3 linked regions of the Drosophila melanogaster genome follow. The protein of the gene in region 3 purifies or fractionates together with the protein of the main gene of each other region. This does not show direct contact. Each region holds a gene or a part of one and is shown on either strand. Other genes may lie near its edges.

Region 1 (7,260 bases), on a different chromosome or scaffold from region 3:
TACCTGTCCGCCAGTGTGGCCGTTCGCCAGCTTAGAAAACGCACACTCCGCGACACCTAAATAGGTAATGCACTTAGATACAACTACAATTACTTAATTAATTTTAACACAATAAAATATTCTTTTAAATTGTAACTTATTTATTCGGCACTTATTTAATCGTTTTAGTGATTATTTGTTTTAAGGATATCTATAGTTGTGCCGCATACCGTAGGGATTATAAGGTTTTAAGCTTCGATAGATATTGTTAGCGTGTTCGTAAACCATTTAGACCGTTATTTTAATACGAATTTTTGAATGGCTTCACACTATTCCGGACAATTTATGTTATTTCTGACCGACATGGTCGGCGGATCCCACATTTCGGCTAACCACAGCCACTGCACTGTTCCTTACCCTTTGCCACTGCAATGTTCCTTACCCAGTGCCGTTGCCTCGAAATCTATCTTCCACTTCCACACACCTGTGCCAGCTCATGGGATCCATCAGAACAGTCGACTATGCCGTTGCAGGCTAAGCTGGTTTCCTTCGCTCGCCGGTTACTGTTCTCAACACATGGAACATAATCATAACTTGCTCCTCGTTTGGAGGAAGATATACACAATGAGGCAACGCTGGGTCTGGAGTATAATTGAACTTAGGCATGCTCTTGTATTTAAAAAGTTTACAGCGTGTATAAATAATGATTTACGAGTACCTAGCATAATGCTTAGCCACGAAAAATAATATGTATAATTGTTAAATTAATTAGAATAAACAAAGAATTACATACAATCAACTAATAGATAACTAAAAGATAATTATCACTTTTAAAAAATGAAGAATTAATTTAAAAAATTATTACAATTTAATTTAGCATTAGAGAAGAGGCTGCACATAATAGCATGGTATTGTATAAACATATAACTAGGGATGCGTGTCCGCACATCTGACCTTCCCCATCGGTTCAGATCAGACGAAGACGCGCATCAAGTCGCTGCTGGTTGGAGTGGAGTTGCCTCCCGGATTGGAACTGTTCCCCTTCCAGGGAGGATTGCTGTTGGCGCTGGGAGTGTTGCTGCTGTTCAAATTGCTGATGTTGTTCATGTTGCTGATGTTCATGTTGCTGCTGCTGTCGGACAAGGTGCGCAGCAGCTGCTTTTTGAGGAGCTGCTGTGGCGAGTGGCTCTGACTTTGGCTGGCGTTGTGGTTGCTCTGGAGCGGCAGGGTGAAGCTGGGGCGGCCGAGGGGCTGCAGCTGCTCCAGCTTGCCGGCCAACAGTCGGCGGCGTTTCTCGTAGAAACTGAAGGTCAGCTTGTTGTCCTCCTCCTTGTCGCGTTCCTTGTCCTTCGTCGGCTGCTCGCCGCCATCCTCGCTATCCGGTGGTGGCTTCTCCTCCTTCTTCGCCTTTCCCATTAGCAGTTCATTCAAACGCTTGGCTGTCATGACTCCCGGCGATCCGCTTGATCCACCACCAGCTTTTCCTCCTACCAGCGCCCTCTTATTGCACCTCAGGCGATCTTGTGCAATGACATTCGATCGCTGAGCGTAAATGGTTCTGCCCGAGGCGGGATTCTTACCCGGCAGACCGTTGCTTAACGCTGGCGAGGGCGGCGGCGGTGTGCGGGCCAGCTGACCGACCACGCCCAGGTGATTACCTCCCGACAGGGATAGCAAATTGTTGTTCGCCTTCCGCGTGGTCAACAGATTCTTGCGGAAGGTGACGCCCAGGCCCTGGGGCAACTTCACCATGCCAAACGTGTTCATGGCCAAGGGACGAGGCGCTCCGGAGTACAGCATCACGTTAAAGTAGCTGTCCTCGTGGTATTTGGCATTGGCCAGCGATGGATGGTGATTGATTTGAGGATTTGTTGTGGGTGGCTGGCTGGCGGCCTTGGCCTCCAGCTTAACAGTCTTTACGGTGTCGCTAACAGTCTCCAGTTTACTGAACTCAAAGTCGGCCAGTTCATCCGCCAGTTGGTTTGCCTCCGTTCCAGAACTCAAGTTGGTTTGTATGCCGCCCGATTGCACGACATTCACGTCCACATTTTCGTAGCCCGCGTTGGTTAGGAATTCGGCTAAGACCTTCTGCTCCAGCATGGAAACGGGATTCGACTCGGTGATCTCGTATATAATACTGGGCAGGATCATGTGCTCCTCCAGCTGCTGTTGCTGTGGATTGACCATTGCCTCATCCGTCAGAGACGGCACGTTGTAGACGCTGAACTGGCGCTGCTGCTCGTGATCCTGAAGCTTCTGATCCTGCTGCTGCTGTTGCTGCTGCTCTTGCAGTTGCTGCTGCTCGAGCATCTGCTGCTGCTGGTAAATCAGTTGCTGCAACTGCATGGCATCGATGGTGGTCAGCTCCTGCTGATGCTCTTCCTCGCCATAAACCTGCTGAACCGCCTGCTGCTGGTACACGGCGTAATCCTCGCCAATGGTTCCGTCCTCAAAGCGCAGCCTTTTAGTGGCCTGTGCGGGATGCGATAGCGATCCATTCTGCGCTTGCTGTTGTGACTGCTGTTGCGATGTGTCCAGAGCGCTCTCATCGAAGTTATTCAGAATCTCGTTGATCAGCTTGCTGTCCAGCATTTCGTCGAGCGTCTGCGAAATGGAGTTCTCGTCGGAGGTGTTGGGCAAGGGCAGTTCCTCCTCATCGGGCGCCACCTGCTCGGCGGAAACCGCTCCCGTGATGGAAGACACTGCCTGGTCCAGTTCGCTGAGCACTTGCTGCTGCTCGTAGGAATTCACCAGAGACTTATCTTTGTTCTTCTCCTTTTCCGCTTTTATTCGATGATCGCTGGAGCCCTTCAACTGAAGAGGATTTCGGTAATTGTATCATTGAGTTATTATAGTCACAATTATATGAAATACCTTTTTCTTTGGCTGCAGCTCGGGCAGCTTTTCCGCATCCGTCTGAAGCTGGGCAGGTGAATAGTTGACCCCCATCGCCACCTCGCTGGAGGCCGCTCCCAACGTGGGAGTGGGCGGTAAGCTGCAGGATGAGTTGCTGGAGGAGGAGAACATGGTTATGGCAGCCGGAGCAGCACCCACAGATGGTGGCTCCTCCTTAACAACAGCAGCGACGACGGGAGGAGCGGCTATGGCCGAACTCTTCTTCGATCCCTTTGACTCCTTGTGATTGGACTCCAGCAGGGCCGGAGCTGGCGAGGAGTGGTGGCGGTTCTTTGACGACTTCGAACGCGACCTACTTCCGGCGGAAGTGCTGCTGCTGCCCTTAGACGAGGAGGAACTGCTACTTTTACTGCTGCTGCTCTTGTGACGCGACGAAGACGAAGACGACGTGGTGCTGGATGAACCCGCAGCAGCCGGATGCTGCAGTGAAGCCGAGCTGCTGGACCCGTTCGAGCAACTGGAGAGCGTCGAGGCCGAAAGCGTATCCGTGGGCGAACTTGGCACGATAGCCCCGCCCTCCTGACTGATTTCCGTGGCAGTGAGACGAGAGTCGCTGGATATGGCTGTCCCATTTGGATTGGGATTCACTTTGCTGGATGTGGCCTCCCAGACGCTAGGATGCTGCAGCGCAATGTGGTGCTGGAAACCTGCCTTCGTGTAACATCCCGAGCAGGAACTACAGAGTACTATATCGCGACTGGCCAGCTTCGGCGCCAGATCGTAGTAGGCCATGTCCGCCGATTGCAGACGCTGGACCTGCACCTTCGCCTGTTGATCTGCGCCGGCGGAGGAGTTCTTTCCACCACGCAGATACGTCTTCTCAGCCGTTCGCAGTTGCTTGATGACCTTTTCCATGTCGAAGACCTGCTGCCACTTTTGGCCCTGCAGGCTAAACAGGGATAGTCCCGCCGATCCCGAGCCGGAATTGGAGCCGGCCGACGAGTCCGGCTTCCACATTCCCGACACCTTGTGCTTGGTTCCATTTTCCGGATAAGCTCCACCACCGGCGGGGGCCACATCGTTCAGGGGCATTCCGGATAGAAGCTGTGCTCGCGGGATCCGGGGATTCGGTACACTCGAGCAAAATTGCCCCTTAAAGCACCTGCAAAACAGGATTGATTTATTAGTTCCAGAGAAACTTTGATAGTGACAGCTTTTAACTGATACTGCAATTCATCGCTGATAAAAAACACAAAATCTGGGGCTATGCACCATGAACCCCGGACCACGGAATCCCTACGAAATGCCCATGTTAAAATCATCACTAGTTTTCATACAATAAATTCGTATATTCTATTACATATACATATGTACGTGGTTTGAATCACCACCAGGCGTGTTTAACCCTAAAACTCAAATTTAATCTTATAAGTATATCTCAAGAAGATTACAACTTTATTAGATTTAGATTTAAGGTAAATTAAAACAAGAATAATCATTTAGAATTAATTATTTATTTTTTCTTTATTTTTTTATATTATAATTAAAATTTTTTGGTGCACGTTAGGATTAACATAAACAGAACCATCGTTATAATTAAATGAATAGATATCAGCAGAACCCACTTATACATATACAACATATCCATTGACCACAGGACCCTGACCCTGAATACATACATACATACATATATAGATTTTATTAGCAACGGAAAAGTATTGGACACTGCACAAACCACTTGTGGAGGGTGTGAAGACTGTACGTCTTGGAGTATTTCTATGCGTATATTGCCATTTTTGAATGAATCTCGAAATTTAACAAACTGTTGTTTTTGATATCGTAAATTTTCAGCGAAAGCTTACAGGTGAGTGCTGCCCCCGCCCCCGCGAGCGCCAACCCCTCGGTACCCGCACCCCTTGGTCTGGATCAGCTGTTTTTGACAACCGCTACTCGAGTGGCGCCGTCTCGCTCGCACTGCCGCACACATGCGCAGCCACTCACACCGACGCACAGCACACTCACGCACTTACCCACACCAATGCAACACAAACAAAGCACACGATTGAAAATCACAAAATAAAAATCACTTAAAATGCTCGCAGGCAATTTTAGTCGAATGCCGAATGATATCGGCATTAAATGACACTTACGTCGTTAACACACTTCCATGTTTTGTTGTTTTTTTTGTGGGTTTAGGTTACCGTTCTACCCTACCCGTGGATAAATCGGATTTTTGGCCGGCCTCCGTGGAGGAAAATGCCAGGTCAACTCGAAAAAGACGAGTTGGTTGTATAGCCTAATTGATTCTGTAACGAAATCAATTAAAGCTTTCTAGTTTGTCTCGCTTTTTCGAGTTTAAAGATTGATATTATGAATATCGTTGTATTTGCTTAGGGATGGCAATTCGCGTCTCGTTACGTTACGTTGTATTTGTTGCAGCTGCAGATTAAGTGCGATATGTTATCGATAGTCGCACAGGTATTCGTTGCATACGTAGCCGATATATTAATTACATGCATTTCCGCTGAAAAGTCAGTTGAATATATTTATGAATTAAAATCTTTTTAAAGGCGATAGAAAACTATACTTAACATTTCCTATTTTTACAAGCGTTTATTTGCTGGCACAAACTATAACCATAATTAAACGTAACATTAGTCATCTTCATCACTAAGCTCATCCTCCTCCTTTCTTCTGGACTTTTGCTCCAGTTCCTTGGCGTAGAGATCCTTGAAGGCTTCGTATTCCGGCAGGGTGACGTGGCAAATCTTTGTGGCGAAACTCTTCTCGGAAGTGTCTGTAATCTGATAGAGTTTGGGGTTCGTAGTCGGCTCATTTGGATCGGCTTTCGGAGGTCGTGGCTTAAAGAGGCCCAAACGAAGCAGGAACTGGTGGCGACAACGCAGCTCCTCGAATGACAAGGTAAGGGCTGCCGATTTAACCAACTCCGGCACTTCTATGCGCATCACGTCTGTGATGAAGTTCAGTTTCTCCTCAATAGATACCTCGGATTGTGCTATCAAATCCGGACTGTTCATCAAACACTTCCACACATTTTTGCTGGTGGAGACGCGACTTTGAAGGAAGCCGATGTGGGAAAGTAACTGGTGGGAGTCGCTAACGTCCAGTAACTCGGGGTACTTCGTAAGGAGCAGGTGCAGTAGATTCTCGCCGAATTGACAGGCCCTCCAGATTTCCAGGCAGCTTATTATTTTGTCCGGCGTTCTTTTCAAAATCGCGGGGTTACCGGTAACTATTCTAAGGAAATTCACGGTTTCCAAGCCGTGGTTTTGAAAAGTTTGATGGGCCCTTCGCCAGATTTCAGGTGAGAATACAGCTAACGTGGGTTCTATTTTGATGGCTTCATCGATGTGAATTTGTTCAAGCTGCAATATCTTGGGCGTTGCCAAGTGCCTTATGTGATGTAACTGGAAAGTAACAATTTGTATCTAATTTCTATCTAATGCATTCATGATTAACTCACGTTTGACTGTTGTTTTAATACAGCTTGTGTGTTAAATAATAGTTTCCGCAACATTTTTGGCGATGTCCTCTTAAATCGGCGAGCAAAACAATGAACAGCTGATCTCTTCTTCTTTGCAATGACAGTTACCGAGAAGCGTGAACAACGGCATGTTTAGCTGGTACACCCACCATATTCGTCTATAGCTTAATTGTCTATTAAATCGCACGCATCGAACTGTTATTCTCGTCGGGTGCACAGCAAATTGTTTATAAATAGAACTGTCGCGCATAAAAAACAACAGTGGAAAGTTTTATCGTTTAGTTCTGCTACAAGCTCAGCGTAAGTTTTTTTTCTTTATTTTGTACATATGTGTGTATACATGTGTGTGAGAGTTCAACTATAGCATAATTATAATCAAACTCTGAAAGAGATATAGCTTAATGTTATAAACTAAGTACTACCCGGCTTATTTAACCAAAGAATTCAAATTATTTGTCGCCATTTGGAACCGTACAAGTAAATACATACATATGTATGTAGAAAACGACATGTAAACTGATCGATACACTGATAAAAATTTATATTCAAGTGAAAAAGCTTAAATCAAATTTATAAATGGATGTGAAATGTATTTTTATATTTCTTTTAAATATACATAAATCCATACACAAAAACCCAACTAATAAATTGTTGATATTGAAAAGGAAATCATCCAGAAATTAATCAAGAGAATTAAAATGTTATTTTTGTAATAATCTTAAAAGCTCTGTGTATCAGAGCGAACGTGACAAGTGTTTTTACTTAATGAGGAAACTATTGGCCAGGAGAGGAGGGCTCGTTCGATCAGTGATAACTTTGAATTCCCGTACAGGTGGCATCCAGAATAACTCAAGTAATGCTCAAACAAGGTCAAACTCAATAACATTGTGAAATAGCACAACTACTTCTGGTCGATTTTC
Region 2 (5,992 bases), about 15 Mb from region 3:
CCCCATCTAGGTACTCCTATGTTGACAAGAATGCCACCCAGCGCGAGTACAAGCCGGTGGTACCGAAGATGGAGCCTCGCAAGCTGGTTCGCTACCGGGACAATAAGATCGTATCGCTTAAGGGCGAGCGGTACACCGAGATTAAGCGTGACGAAGATGCTGAGTTAAAAAAACCCAAGAAGCAGATTCAACCGTAACTAAAGAGGAACAAAACCCTCTTCAAGTATTTTATCAAAAAGCAAATTAATACACACCCCAATAACTTATCCGCACCCACGAAAACGATCTTCGCCAGTAGCAGTAGCTGCAGATCCAACGTCACCAACAACAGCAGCCATCCCGAAATCGAGCACAGTGTGTGCAATCATATGCATATTGTTGGGCTGAGCGCCGCCAAAAGCCATGTCAGCACCTATTCCAGCTTCACCACACCAGTGATCCCCGCCAAGCTTAGCCAATGTTTAGACGCTTCCCAAGACGATGACGATGAGCAGCGAGAGTTTAGAGACAAAGACGAGACACCGAGCACAGCGAATCGGTTCCCATATCCGAGTGAGTATGGTGCAGAGTTTGTGGCATCTGCCGGCATGTTGGTCATACTGTTGCTAGTTGGCCATTGCCACAGGACCTTGAGCCCTCATCGCGCCAATGCCCATGACAAAGACACAAAGACTTTACATACCAAATTAGTTGATAGTTATGCTTTAGGACTACTCGCTTATGCAAATTTTGAGAGCCCATCCATCGCGGCCGCCTGCTTATGAGTCTCGATGCTGGGAGCAGGCGGTTCAGACGGATCTGGACATGGATCTGTTTCCGTTGCCAGTCGTCAATTATGACGACTGGGGTCGCGCCTGCGCTGTGACTTTTCCTTAGTTCCTTACGCAAGCGAATTCAAATCGAACCGTATCTGTGAAAATCGTGAATCTCAAACTCTTGAATGTCCTCGAACAGTATTGTTAAACATACTTCAGTCCCTAGGATCAGACGCAGGTGCGACACCAAAACCGAATTTGGCGCTCAAATAGACTTATTTAGACGTTTTTAGGTACTCGAATTGATAAATTTTGTTGGCCGTGTGCGTGTTTTTGAAAAGCGCAGCTGCACAAGTAACTTGCCATATCTGTTTAAGATCTGTTAACCCATTTTGTATCGTGTAACTCGTTTTGTTTTTCTCTGGTCCAAGCTAACTAGCAAGAGTAAACTAGCAACAATGCCACCAAAGCCACATGCAACACAAACTAGTCCTCACCGCCCACTGAGATATCTGGAACCCATAACAATTCGGCTACTGCTCGGTGTAAGACAGCAATACTAACAATAATATAAACGTATTCACCATATGAACTAATCGAATAATCAACTATTTATACAGCGTAGCCTACCCCAAATCCTTCCCAATGATTGTAATGATTGTAACCTACAATATCTCGGCAGTCCCACGCCCTATTCATGTTAGATGTAAGCAACCGAAATATTTTTCGGCAGTTATTACTTTTACACTTTTTGTTTGAAACAAAAGATATTTACCCATTTTATATTTTTTTTGTAACTCAGAATTTAGCTTAAGTTTTTAATCCTGACCACCGCTTAAATTTACGTATCGAACTGCATTTAAGCACATGAGTTTTTTATATTTTTATTCAGCACCACGCTACAAATGTTTCAACCATCACATATTCGTATTTATGTTTACCTTGTTTTGGTTTGATATGCACTTCTTTTATTTTAGTTTTATTTTATATATATTAATATTATTTTTTGTGATAATTTAAAAAAGGCAAAACACTCGAATTAAACTTTTAAAATAATTAAATAAACTACTATCAATATTTAACGCATAAACATTAGAGTTTTGAACATGTGCCTAATGTTTGAAATTTGTATTCTATATTTAATGTGTTGGTACTTTTGGTAAGTAGTATAATTTAGAAATTAACTATAATTCAGAGATTCAACAGAATTATGAAAATTAGCTAAAAAGGCTTTAAGACTAGCTATATAGGCGGCACTGTTCCGATGAACTGGTTCGGTTCGTTGGCCGTACATATAAGAATTCTCAGTAGAGCAATATGGCGTTGACTTCGCGTCTGGTCACATTACTGGCATAGGTTTTTTTCGCACAACTCATAATTGTCGTGAAAATCCAGGTTTTGGCCCAAAATGACCACAATCGCGGATTTATTCACAAAGTATAATTGCACAAATTGCCAGGATGATATTCAGGGCATTCGAGTGCACTGCGCGGAGTGCGAAAACTTCGATTTGTGTCTGCAAGTAAGTAACTCACACATACACGCCGTCGAGCGACGCACGTATACATGTTGCAGTAGGGTGGTTCGCTCTTTTTGAGGTTCTAGATACTTGTATATAGATTTGTAAATAATAAAAATCAGTTATTTTAACAAAATATTCTTGAATCACCCTCTTTGGATGGTCAAACTAATGGCCATATGGCCTCAATCCTCTAAATTAACGTCACCCAGATCTTGACAAGAAAAATATTTGCTTTAACTTTTTGTTAATTTAAAGGAAATTTGTTTATTGATTTTGGTAAATAGGTAGACTATCGTAGTTAATTTAATTAAAAATTACTTCCTTACGAATTAGCAGTGTCATTTTTATTTAGTTAAATGCCATAAATTAAAAAGAAAAAAATGTCAAAATAAGTGTCTGAATCTTGTATTAAAAAAAGGCCTGACAAAGCGTAAATTTAGGGAATATGAAATATGTTTCTGTTTTAATTTCCTAATCAAATTATTTTTATCGAGGAACTATTTACACGTTTTCTTTGTCAACATAATCGACCCACCCTGTTACACCCACACTCGTACAATCTAGAGATGCGTCGCCAATTTGGAACCAAAAACTGACTCATCTAGACATTCAAATAATACATACACACAACCGGCAATTTCACCATATTGATTAAAAAACAGCTGACTCTGTATTTATATTGTATTGTTTATTTTTTGCGCAGTGCTTTGCCGCAGGTGCGGAGATCGGCGCCCATCAAAACAACCACTCCTACCAGTTCATGGACACCGGCACTTCCATATTGAGTGTATTTCGTGGAAAGGGGGCGTGGACGGCACGAGAGGAAATCCGCCTGTTGGATGCAATCGAGCAGTACGGCTTTGGAAACTGGGAGGACATTAGCAAGCACATTGAGACGAAGTCAGCGGAGGATGCCAAAGAGGAGTACGTGAATAAGTTTGTAAATGGCACGATTGGAAGGGCCACTTGGACGCCGGCCCAGAGCCAGAGACCCCGCCTTATCGATCACACTGGAGACGACGACGCTGGTCCTCTGGGCACCAATGCTCTCTCTACCTTGCCTCCACTGGAAATCAACTCCGATGAGGCCATGCAGCTGGGCTACATGCCCAACAGGGACAGCTTTGAGCGGGAGTACGATCCCACGGCAGAGCAACTGATCTCGAACATCTCATTAAGCTCCGAGGATACGGAGGTGGATGTGATGCTTAAGCTGGCCCACGTTGACATATACACCCGCCGACTCAGAGAGCGTGCTCGCAGGAAACGGATGGTCAGGGACTATCAATTAGTATCAAATTTCTTCCGAAACAGAAATTACGCTCAGCAACAAGGACTCACCAAGGAGCAGCGCGAGTTTCGGGACAGATTTCGGGTCTACGCCCAGTTCTACACGTGTAACGAGTATGAGCGGCTATTGGGATCACTGGAGCGCGAAAAGGAACTGCGCATTCGACAGTCAGAGCTGTACCGATACCGGTATAATGGCCTGACCAAAATCGCGGAATGCACACATTTCGAGCAGCACGCCGCAACAGCGACGCACCGCTCTACAGGACCATATGGCCATGGCAAGACCGTAAGTTTAAGGCTCCGCAACAGGGGTGCCGAAATCGAACTAACCATTAAATATTTTATTTGGTCTTGAAAATCCGAACTTTTTGGAACTTTGTTATTTTTTTTTTTATTATTAAAATCCAAACATTACCTTTTCTTTCGATTGTTTCACAAAAATTAAAAGAGGTGTTAGGTGACCGGAACCGGTAGCTTTATAATTTTATCAACAATGAGTAGATTAACTTAAATTGAAAGAAAACAAATGATTTAAGTTGAATGTATAGATAAAAGTTTGGATAAATCGATTTGGAATACTTAATACAGAATATTAAATGGTCAAATTGGCTAGTTTCGATTTCATTCCCCTTGGAGTAAGCTTTTCCCACTGAGAATGCATGACGAGTTGAATATCGTGTGTTCTGCCTTGCTTTAACCGTCGTCCTTACCTGAACTGACCCAACTCTTACAATCGCTTTTCCGTCTTGTCTCACGATATTCAGCTCCACTGCATAATAAACGCGCCAAACAACGAGCGTTCGAATGGTTCTATAAGACAATGTTTAACCACAGGACCACACGCATACCTCCAATGGAAGTCATCGGCCGCCAAGCTCTTCCTTGCACTCCCCACAACCGAATCTCAGAAAGGTGTAAGTATTTTGGCAAAAAATTGCAATTACCTTAGAACTTGAATAATTCGGTTTTTCGTTTATTTAGCGAAATGTCAAGCGGCGGCGAGGCAAGTTCAAATTCAATCGCACCAAGAAACACGCTCCACATCGCCGACCCGACCTGCTCCGGCGCATTATTGCCCAGCAAAAACTACTTGGATAGCTGTCGGGGATCGTCGGCAGCTACGATGCTGCAGACGACGGGAATGGTAATGGGGGTAACAGTGGACTCGGGAGCGACGACGGGAGTGACTTCCACGGCTACGACGATGGCGAATCTGCCAACGAACTCGGCGAAGGGAAGCCAACAACATCTGCAGCCGCTGCAGCAGCATCCTCAGCTCCTGCAAAGCGGCAACCAGCACAAAATGCAAAACGAGGCCGCCGGCGGAGGCAGTGATCAGGTGCCCAGCATGAGCCTGAAATTGCGCACCCAGCTGGAGGAACTAAAACATCTGCCACAGCCGCCGGGCAGTGAACTGCTCAGTCACAACGAGCTGGATCTGTGCAAGAAGCATAATATTACGCCCACCACCTACCTCTCGGTTAAGACTGTCTGCTTGAGCGGAGCACCATCGTTGGGTAGTCCTATGGAGACTTCGCTGCGCAAGTTCTTTATCAAGTGCGGCTGGCTGAGCCACTGAACATCTTCCAACTTCCCGCTCCCCTTCGATTAAGAGCCACATGCATTTCCAAGGACTTCACTTTATTTTTGTATTAGTTAGAATAGGTTAAAGACATTTTTATACTGTTCAACTGTCGTTGGCATTTTCATCAAGGTAAAAACTACAAAACTGAAAATCAATTTACTTGTATCAAGTCAAGCTCAATTACAATAAGTGTTGTTCCTTTGTGTGAGATGTCGGGATTCAGATATTGTGTATTAACTAAGCTTAAGTAGGGGACCCAACCAATTGAATATGTATGATATGAATTGTAAATGAAGTAATAAATGTAATAGTGAATGTACAACAAGGACGCGACTTGTTTCTCGGATCTCACAGCTGGGAGACCGCTTTGGACTGAATGCCGCTAGGATATGTAAGAAGTAAGGTATTGAGTAAGCCTCTGATAGCGATAATACCGCGTTGAGTATTTATATTCGTATATTATTTCTTATGGTAGCTAGTTTTCTAGGCAAGATTCTGAACAATGCATTTGAACGTAATTCATTAAAGCCCATGAGAGCATGATAATCAATGTACTAGGCTGAGGAATGGAAAACAATGCTGGAAAAAATATATAAATATCTAATATGTTAACACATATGGAATGTTTTATAAATTAGCGAAGATTAAAACTTGTTAAATGAAAATGCGGTTATCTAATGACATTCTTCGGTATTATAAACTTAACAAAATCACTCATTCAGTTCAAGAAACCCACTAGTTATTTATCCTAGCTTATGTTCGTCCAATGCGGCACCCTAAAGCATGCACTCTGTAACCGTATACCTACAAAAATATATCATATATTTAAACAAATTT
Region 3 (5,398 bases):
AACTTTATTGGCAAAGACTTTCAGGTCTGAATAAAGTGACATTGTGATACTAGACCTTCTACTTCCCAGTGCGCTGTGGAATCAGACTGCTGCTGTCGGCATGCGTAGCATATGCATGCTATTTATTATTTATTCATGTTCTGCCCTCTTTTATTACGCTGTATAAGTCACTATATTTAAGCCAACCGGATAAAGATAAAGCTTTTGTTGCATCCCGCTGGGTCGTAGACAAGCTCATTTACATAAGTTATGATATTTGATTATAGTTGTTCAATTCATTGATTGCATGTAACTTACGATCAGAAGGCTGATCACTCCAACATTATTTAAAAATTAAGTTCAATGTTCTTTGTTCAAAAGGGCTGTGCGTATGTCCAAAATCATAGAGGTTCCAAGCTGTATATAAATGTATTTACACAATCCTAAACCTATATGAAACTACCTAAATTATTGAAGAACAGTAAAATGTCTCTTAATGCATCGCTAATTAAATTCAACCAAAAAATTCTATATTACCTTTAGATTTATTTAGTTTTGCACATTTTTAGGTATTGGGTAAAATGTTAATATATTAAAAAAAATCACTTCAACAATTGAAATTCGATTCGAATGCTCGTCTTATTTTTAATAGTTACACATTTTTCAACTTTTGTGGAAATTGGCCACTCATTACTTATGCCATGACTTCGTTTTGAAAGACATTCTTTAGCTGTGACCAGTAGACGATGCAGGTAAAGGCATTACACTGTAACCAACTCGTTTTATTCCACAAGAAAGCTACCAGGATTGTTAAATCAAAAGAATTATTTATATAAAGAATTGTTTCACACGATAGTAACAATAATATACAACTTATTACAAAATAAATTATTTTCAAACATAAGTCGTCACTAGAAAGTCTAAATTCGGGCTGAACTTTCAACCGTCTTCTTTAAGTGCCGATGCAGTAGAGCGTCTTGCTGGTCCCGTAAAAAACATCGACCAAGCGCTGGCAGGAACTATTGACAGTAAGCACACGATTCGTTGTAGCTGATGATGAGCTTCCAGCACTACTGTTGTCACTGTGGAGCAACCAAAATAAATCATCATTACCAATATTAACAAATTGCTCCGTTTCCATTCCACAAATATAACTAACCTCATGGGCGATAGTTTCTTGATGTCCCACAATCGCAAGGTACCATCGCTGCACGCTGTGGCCAGGTGCCTATTGTGCGTGCTCCAGGAAAGAGAACTAATGCTCGCCGAGTGATCCTTGAGCTCAGCCAGCTGTGCTCCGGCGGCCAAGTCGAATATACGCACCTTCGTTTCCTCTCCGGCGGCAGCCAACATCTTTCCATCTGGGCTAAACGCCAGCTGGGTCACCGCCTGACGGCAGTCGGCAAAGACACGCATCAATTTTCCGCTGGTTGCACACCACAGGCGAACGGAGTGATCTGCCGATCCTGTGGCTATGTAGTTGCCATTCGGATGGAACGCAACGCACTGTCAGAAAAAAAAAATATATATAACTAAAAGTTCAAAGACATTTTTGGTTAAACCAACCTCAACATCCTGTGTATGCCCGGCATAAATTATGAGCGCATGTTCCTTCTCTAGCGACCAGAGGCGCGCACTCAAATCCTTGGAACCCGTTACCACGTATTGGCCCACTGGACTTTCGTCCAAGCACCAAATTGGGTAGTTGTGACTTCTGTATATGGCGGCGCAATGCAGGTTGTGGGCACGCCAGCACCGCATGGTTGCGTCTTTGGACACACTATACATGAGTGGGTAGTGGGCGGAGAAGCGCACATCGGTGACTCCTTTTGTGTGACCTCGCAGCTGAAATCCGCCGTATTCGTTGCTAATTAGAAAAAAAAAACTTTAGTTGATTAAAAATTGAAAAATAAAACCAATACTAAACCTGGAAGATGAACTTACTAGGAGTTATCAGCATATTTGCAATGTCGCGCCCTGTTGCGTTCCCGTCTCTCCTCCTCAGAGCACTTGACATCCTCATCGCTGCTGTCCTCATCCGTCTCCTCCTCTTGATTCGCGCAATTGTTCAGCTCCCAGGGACACCGCTTTTGCGGATAGCGTCTGTAGAAGCTCTTGCCGCGGCAGTAGCTCTGGTTTAACTGCCACAGCTGTACGGCAGAATTGTCGAACCCGGCTAACATGTGGCACTCACTGGGATCCAGATGGGCGGAGGTGAGGCCCCGAGAACGTTCACTGATTCTGAGAAATCGCGGCAACTCCACCTGAGACTTGAGTATCTGTTCAGTGGCCGATTTAAGGGTGTCCAAGCAGGCGTCTATATTCAGTTGTAATTTACTAAGCTCTGCAGATTCATCCGTTTCTACCTCCTGTTTGATGTCTGTTTCTAGCATAATGTTTGGCTCCTCAGCGGGTCGTTTTCGGTTCGACTTTTCAGTGAGGGATTTGCTTGGTCTTATGTCTCCGCGGGTATTAAGGGTTACTGCTGGTTTGGAAACAACATCGTCCTCTCCATCCTCACCTTCCAGGTCATCCGTCAAGCCAAGCAGGTGATCCTCACTAAAGGCGCGCTGCTCATTCTCCACTATATGGACATGCAACCAGGTGTAGAGTAGGTTCATAATTAAAACGTGGCCCCGTCGTTGGAGATAAGCGCATATCCTATTAACAACTACGGCTGTAGTATGTAGTTCGTATTTCGAAGATCGAAAATGGGCCACTGTGTCATCGGACTCTGCTGCCTCCAGCCGTGTGTAGCCACTCAGGGTTTGCACCAGGCGCATAAAGTAGTCCAGTTCCGTGTCCCCAGTGTCCTGGGCTTCCTTTGCGAAGCGTATGTTAAAAGTGGACTCATTGGCCGTAGTGGAGCATCCGTTGATCTTGGTAGGTGGTGGTGCATCGTACATATCCACGGGGGCCACCAAGTGAGCATATTTGCGCAACAACTCCACAGCGCCACGCGGTTCGCGAGCCTTGAGCAGATCCAGATAGAAGTGGCACAGCATGGGTCCATAAAAGCGCTTCATTTCCAGACGCAGCGGTTCGGCCTGGGCCTCCACGAACTGCGAAAACCGACCAAATTGCTGGTCCACAGTGTGCTGGTTGTTGGTGATAACCTGGACATTTGAAAAGGTGAAGCTATTGCCACCGTGCAAATCCGTATCCAGCATTTTGTTGACAGCAAACTGCTGTTTGTTTTGCAGCAGCAAAAAATCCGACCGCCGAAATCGTTCGTTGCTCTACGGGTTTGAATATTTGAACACTCTGAGGAATTGTATATTTGAAGATTATTCACTTACCACGTAGTTTTTCTGCTTCAGCAGGAGTCCCACGGCGCAGCGTAGCAAATCGTTTTTGGAGGAGGTCTTTTTGCTGCTCGCGCTCGACTTGTTGTTATTGCTGTTGCTGTAGACGGGCGATGCAGCATGTGCGTGGTTGCTGGCGCTGGGCAGGCTCATCGTTGCGTGTTAGCCTCGCTTTGTTCCGTATCCTGATCCCGTCCTGCAGTGCGTCCGATATGCGTTCGATTATAGTGCTGACAGCGGAGATGGGTTGTCCTATCGATGTGCATTCATCGATTTTAAGCGGCTGCAACAGCTGTTCTTTCAAAATTGTTTTCGTCAGTGATGGCTATTTGGCTTCTCTTTTATAACAATATTGATATTGAAATATTTTAATTTTAAATTTATTTTTACATTTTTAACTTATATTTATATTATATTTTATTTATATTAACTAGCTTTTTATTTTTAGCTCTATTATATTCTCTATTCTTAGCTAGTTTATTTGGCTATTGTCACCACTGAAGAAAGTCAGCTGTTTGTGTTGTTGGATTCCCGAGCGCTCTTGACAATTTCTTGTATTTTCGCTGCGGTATCTCAGTTCGAGTTTTTACGTGATATAAAACAGTACCTGGTCTTCAAAAAACGAGCCATTATGGGCACCACGACAAAGTTTGTGAACGAGTTCTGTGATATTATCGATTCCTATGGCGGGCGAGATAAGGTAACATAGAAGAGCCGCACAGCCGAGTAAATTTCCAATTAATTGAAAACACACCTGTTTGTTTACGTTTGAACCGAGTGTTTTTCCCAATTCGTATGCGCAAATTTAAAAAAATGCATCGTGGCATTTTGACTGGTTTCTATTTCCTTTTTGGACTGGTCCATTGAGGGGCTCGCTTGAAATCGAAACTGAACCAACAGGTTTCCATGTTGTTGCTGCATCGATGTTGGCATTGGTCTTTGGGTCTCGAACAAGGAAGCCACAGCAGTTTGGACCTTGCCTTACTTCTTTCTGATTCGCAATGGATTTTGTATTTCGCTTTTCGCTTATCAGTCGCAGTTCGGCGGCGATCGAGTCAAGATAATGCTCAATACTATAGCCGGCAAACCTTTAAGCCGCTACCAGATAAAGCGGATAATTCGTTATGAACGAAAGGTTTGTTTGGACTGCCGCCCATCAGGAGACACGCGATCCACACATTTCCACCATCGCGAGTTTATATACCCCTACAAGGGGTGTATACAGTGCAGACAAAGAGGGAATCTTGTATAGTGTATCTCTATTTTAATAGAAAAATCGAACCTTGAATACGATAAAATATTGTTCAAAGTATTTTAGATTTATTAATTAGAACAAATAATTTGTTATACTTGATAACCATTTGAAAATATAATATAATATATTATGTGGCTGTAAACAGCGAATGGGGTGGTCACGAACTTTGGAAATACTATAGGATATTTACATAAATTAGTCGTATAGCGACATTAGTATTCCTCCGAATTGCATAACTAATTCATTGATGGCAAAGCAAGCAAACTGAACCATTAATGGGTAAACAATGAAACCACCCACAACTCATTCCGGCCAGGACGGACGACCAGGAGCACTCCACTGGCGGCCATCACACGAGATGATTGTGGCATTCGTTGTATTCTTTTTATCGCTGATAGTATTTTATCTGTTTGTGACAACCAAGCAATTCCACAAATTGCAGGGCTGACTGGCGATTGGGGTCAGGTAGAGGCAAAGGTAAACAGCGATGCCAACTCTCGTGATAGAGCAAACACACGGCTTAACGAATTGCGCAGAACAATTATTACATATATGAAATTAAATACCTATTTCAGGTGATGAAGGCATTGTGCTACAGTGCCAAACTGGTGGCTGGCTACCATGCCAAGCGGAATCCGGAACTAGCCAAGCGATACGCCACCGCCAGCTCAAGGATCTCAGGTGCGAGAGCCACACTGCGTCTCATCGACGACATACCCATGATCCAATATGCTTTGGAGTATGGCTTGGGCGAGAATGAGCCCGATCGCGTCATGCAAGTGCTGGGAGTGACGGCCAACATTGTGGATTTGCTCTACTATCCCATCGAGAAGGTGTGCTGGCTGGCCGAGCACAAGAT

Evidence for each region.
Region 1: the proteins of wda (region 3) and Atxn7 purify together in Drosophila melanogaster (affinity purification with mass spectrometry; 2 studies listed by BioGRID). This does not show direct contact.
Region 2: the proteins of wda (region 3) and Ada2b purify together in Drosophila melanogaster (affinity purification with mass spectrometry; 2 studies listed by BioGRID). This does not show direct contact.

The regions. Positions count from the first base shown.
Region 1 is NT_033779.5:2,373,869-2,381,128, reverse strand, and holds Atxn7 (ataxin 7), read right to left. Parts: upstream 5,289-7,260; 5' UTR 4,986-5,288; exon of another isoform or gene 4,866-4,985; intron 4,797-4,865; exon of another isoform or gene 4,457-4,796; intron 3,998-4,456; 5' UTR 3,928-3,997; coding exon 2,854-3,927; intron 2,794-2,853; coding exon 952-2,793; 3' UTR 623-951; downstream 1-622. Other genes in the region: CG15390 (uncharacterized protein), read right to left, coding at 5,490-6,263, 6,320-6,373.
Region 2 is NT_033777.3:8,236,595-8,242,586, reverse strand, and holds Ada2b (transcriptional adaptor 2b), read left to right. Parts: upstream 1-2,071; 5' UTR 2,072-2,163; coding exon 2,164-2,277; intron 2,278-2,980; coding exon 2,981-3,856; intron 3,857-4,334; coding exon of another isoform or gene 4,335-4,404; coding exon 4,405-4,484; intron 4,485-4,551; coding exon 4,552-5,149; 3' UTR 5,150-5,473; downstream 5,474-5,992. Other genes in the region: CG9636 (uncharacterized protein), read left to right, coding at 11-197. UniProt on the Drosophila melanogaster protein: Component of several Gcn5-containing histone acetyltransferase complexes that regulate nucleosome organization; involved in acetylation of histone H3, particularly on Lys-10 (H3K9ac) and Lys-15 (H3K14ac).
Region 3 is NT_033777.3:23,254,563-23,259,960, forward strand, and holds wda (will decrease acetylation), read right to left. Parts: upstream 3,526-5,398; 5' UTR 3,438-3,525; coding exon 3,279-3,437; intron 3,219-3,278; coding exon 1,924-3,218; intron 1,847-1,923; coding exon 1,546-1,846; intron 1,486-1,545; coding exon 1,139-1,485; intron 1,062-1,138; coding exon 932-1,061; 3' UTR 508-931; downstream 1-507. Other genes in the region: Pex11c (peroxin 11c), read left to right, coding at 4,348-4,419, 5,115-5,398. UniProt on the Drosophila melanogaster protein: Component of the transcription regulatory complex SAGA, a multiprotein complex that activates transcription by remodeling chromatin and mediating histone acetylation and deubiquitination. The SAGA complex predominantly acetylates histone H3.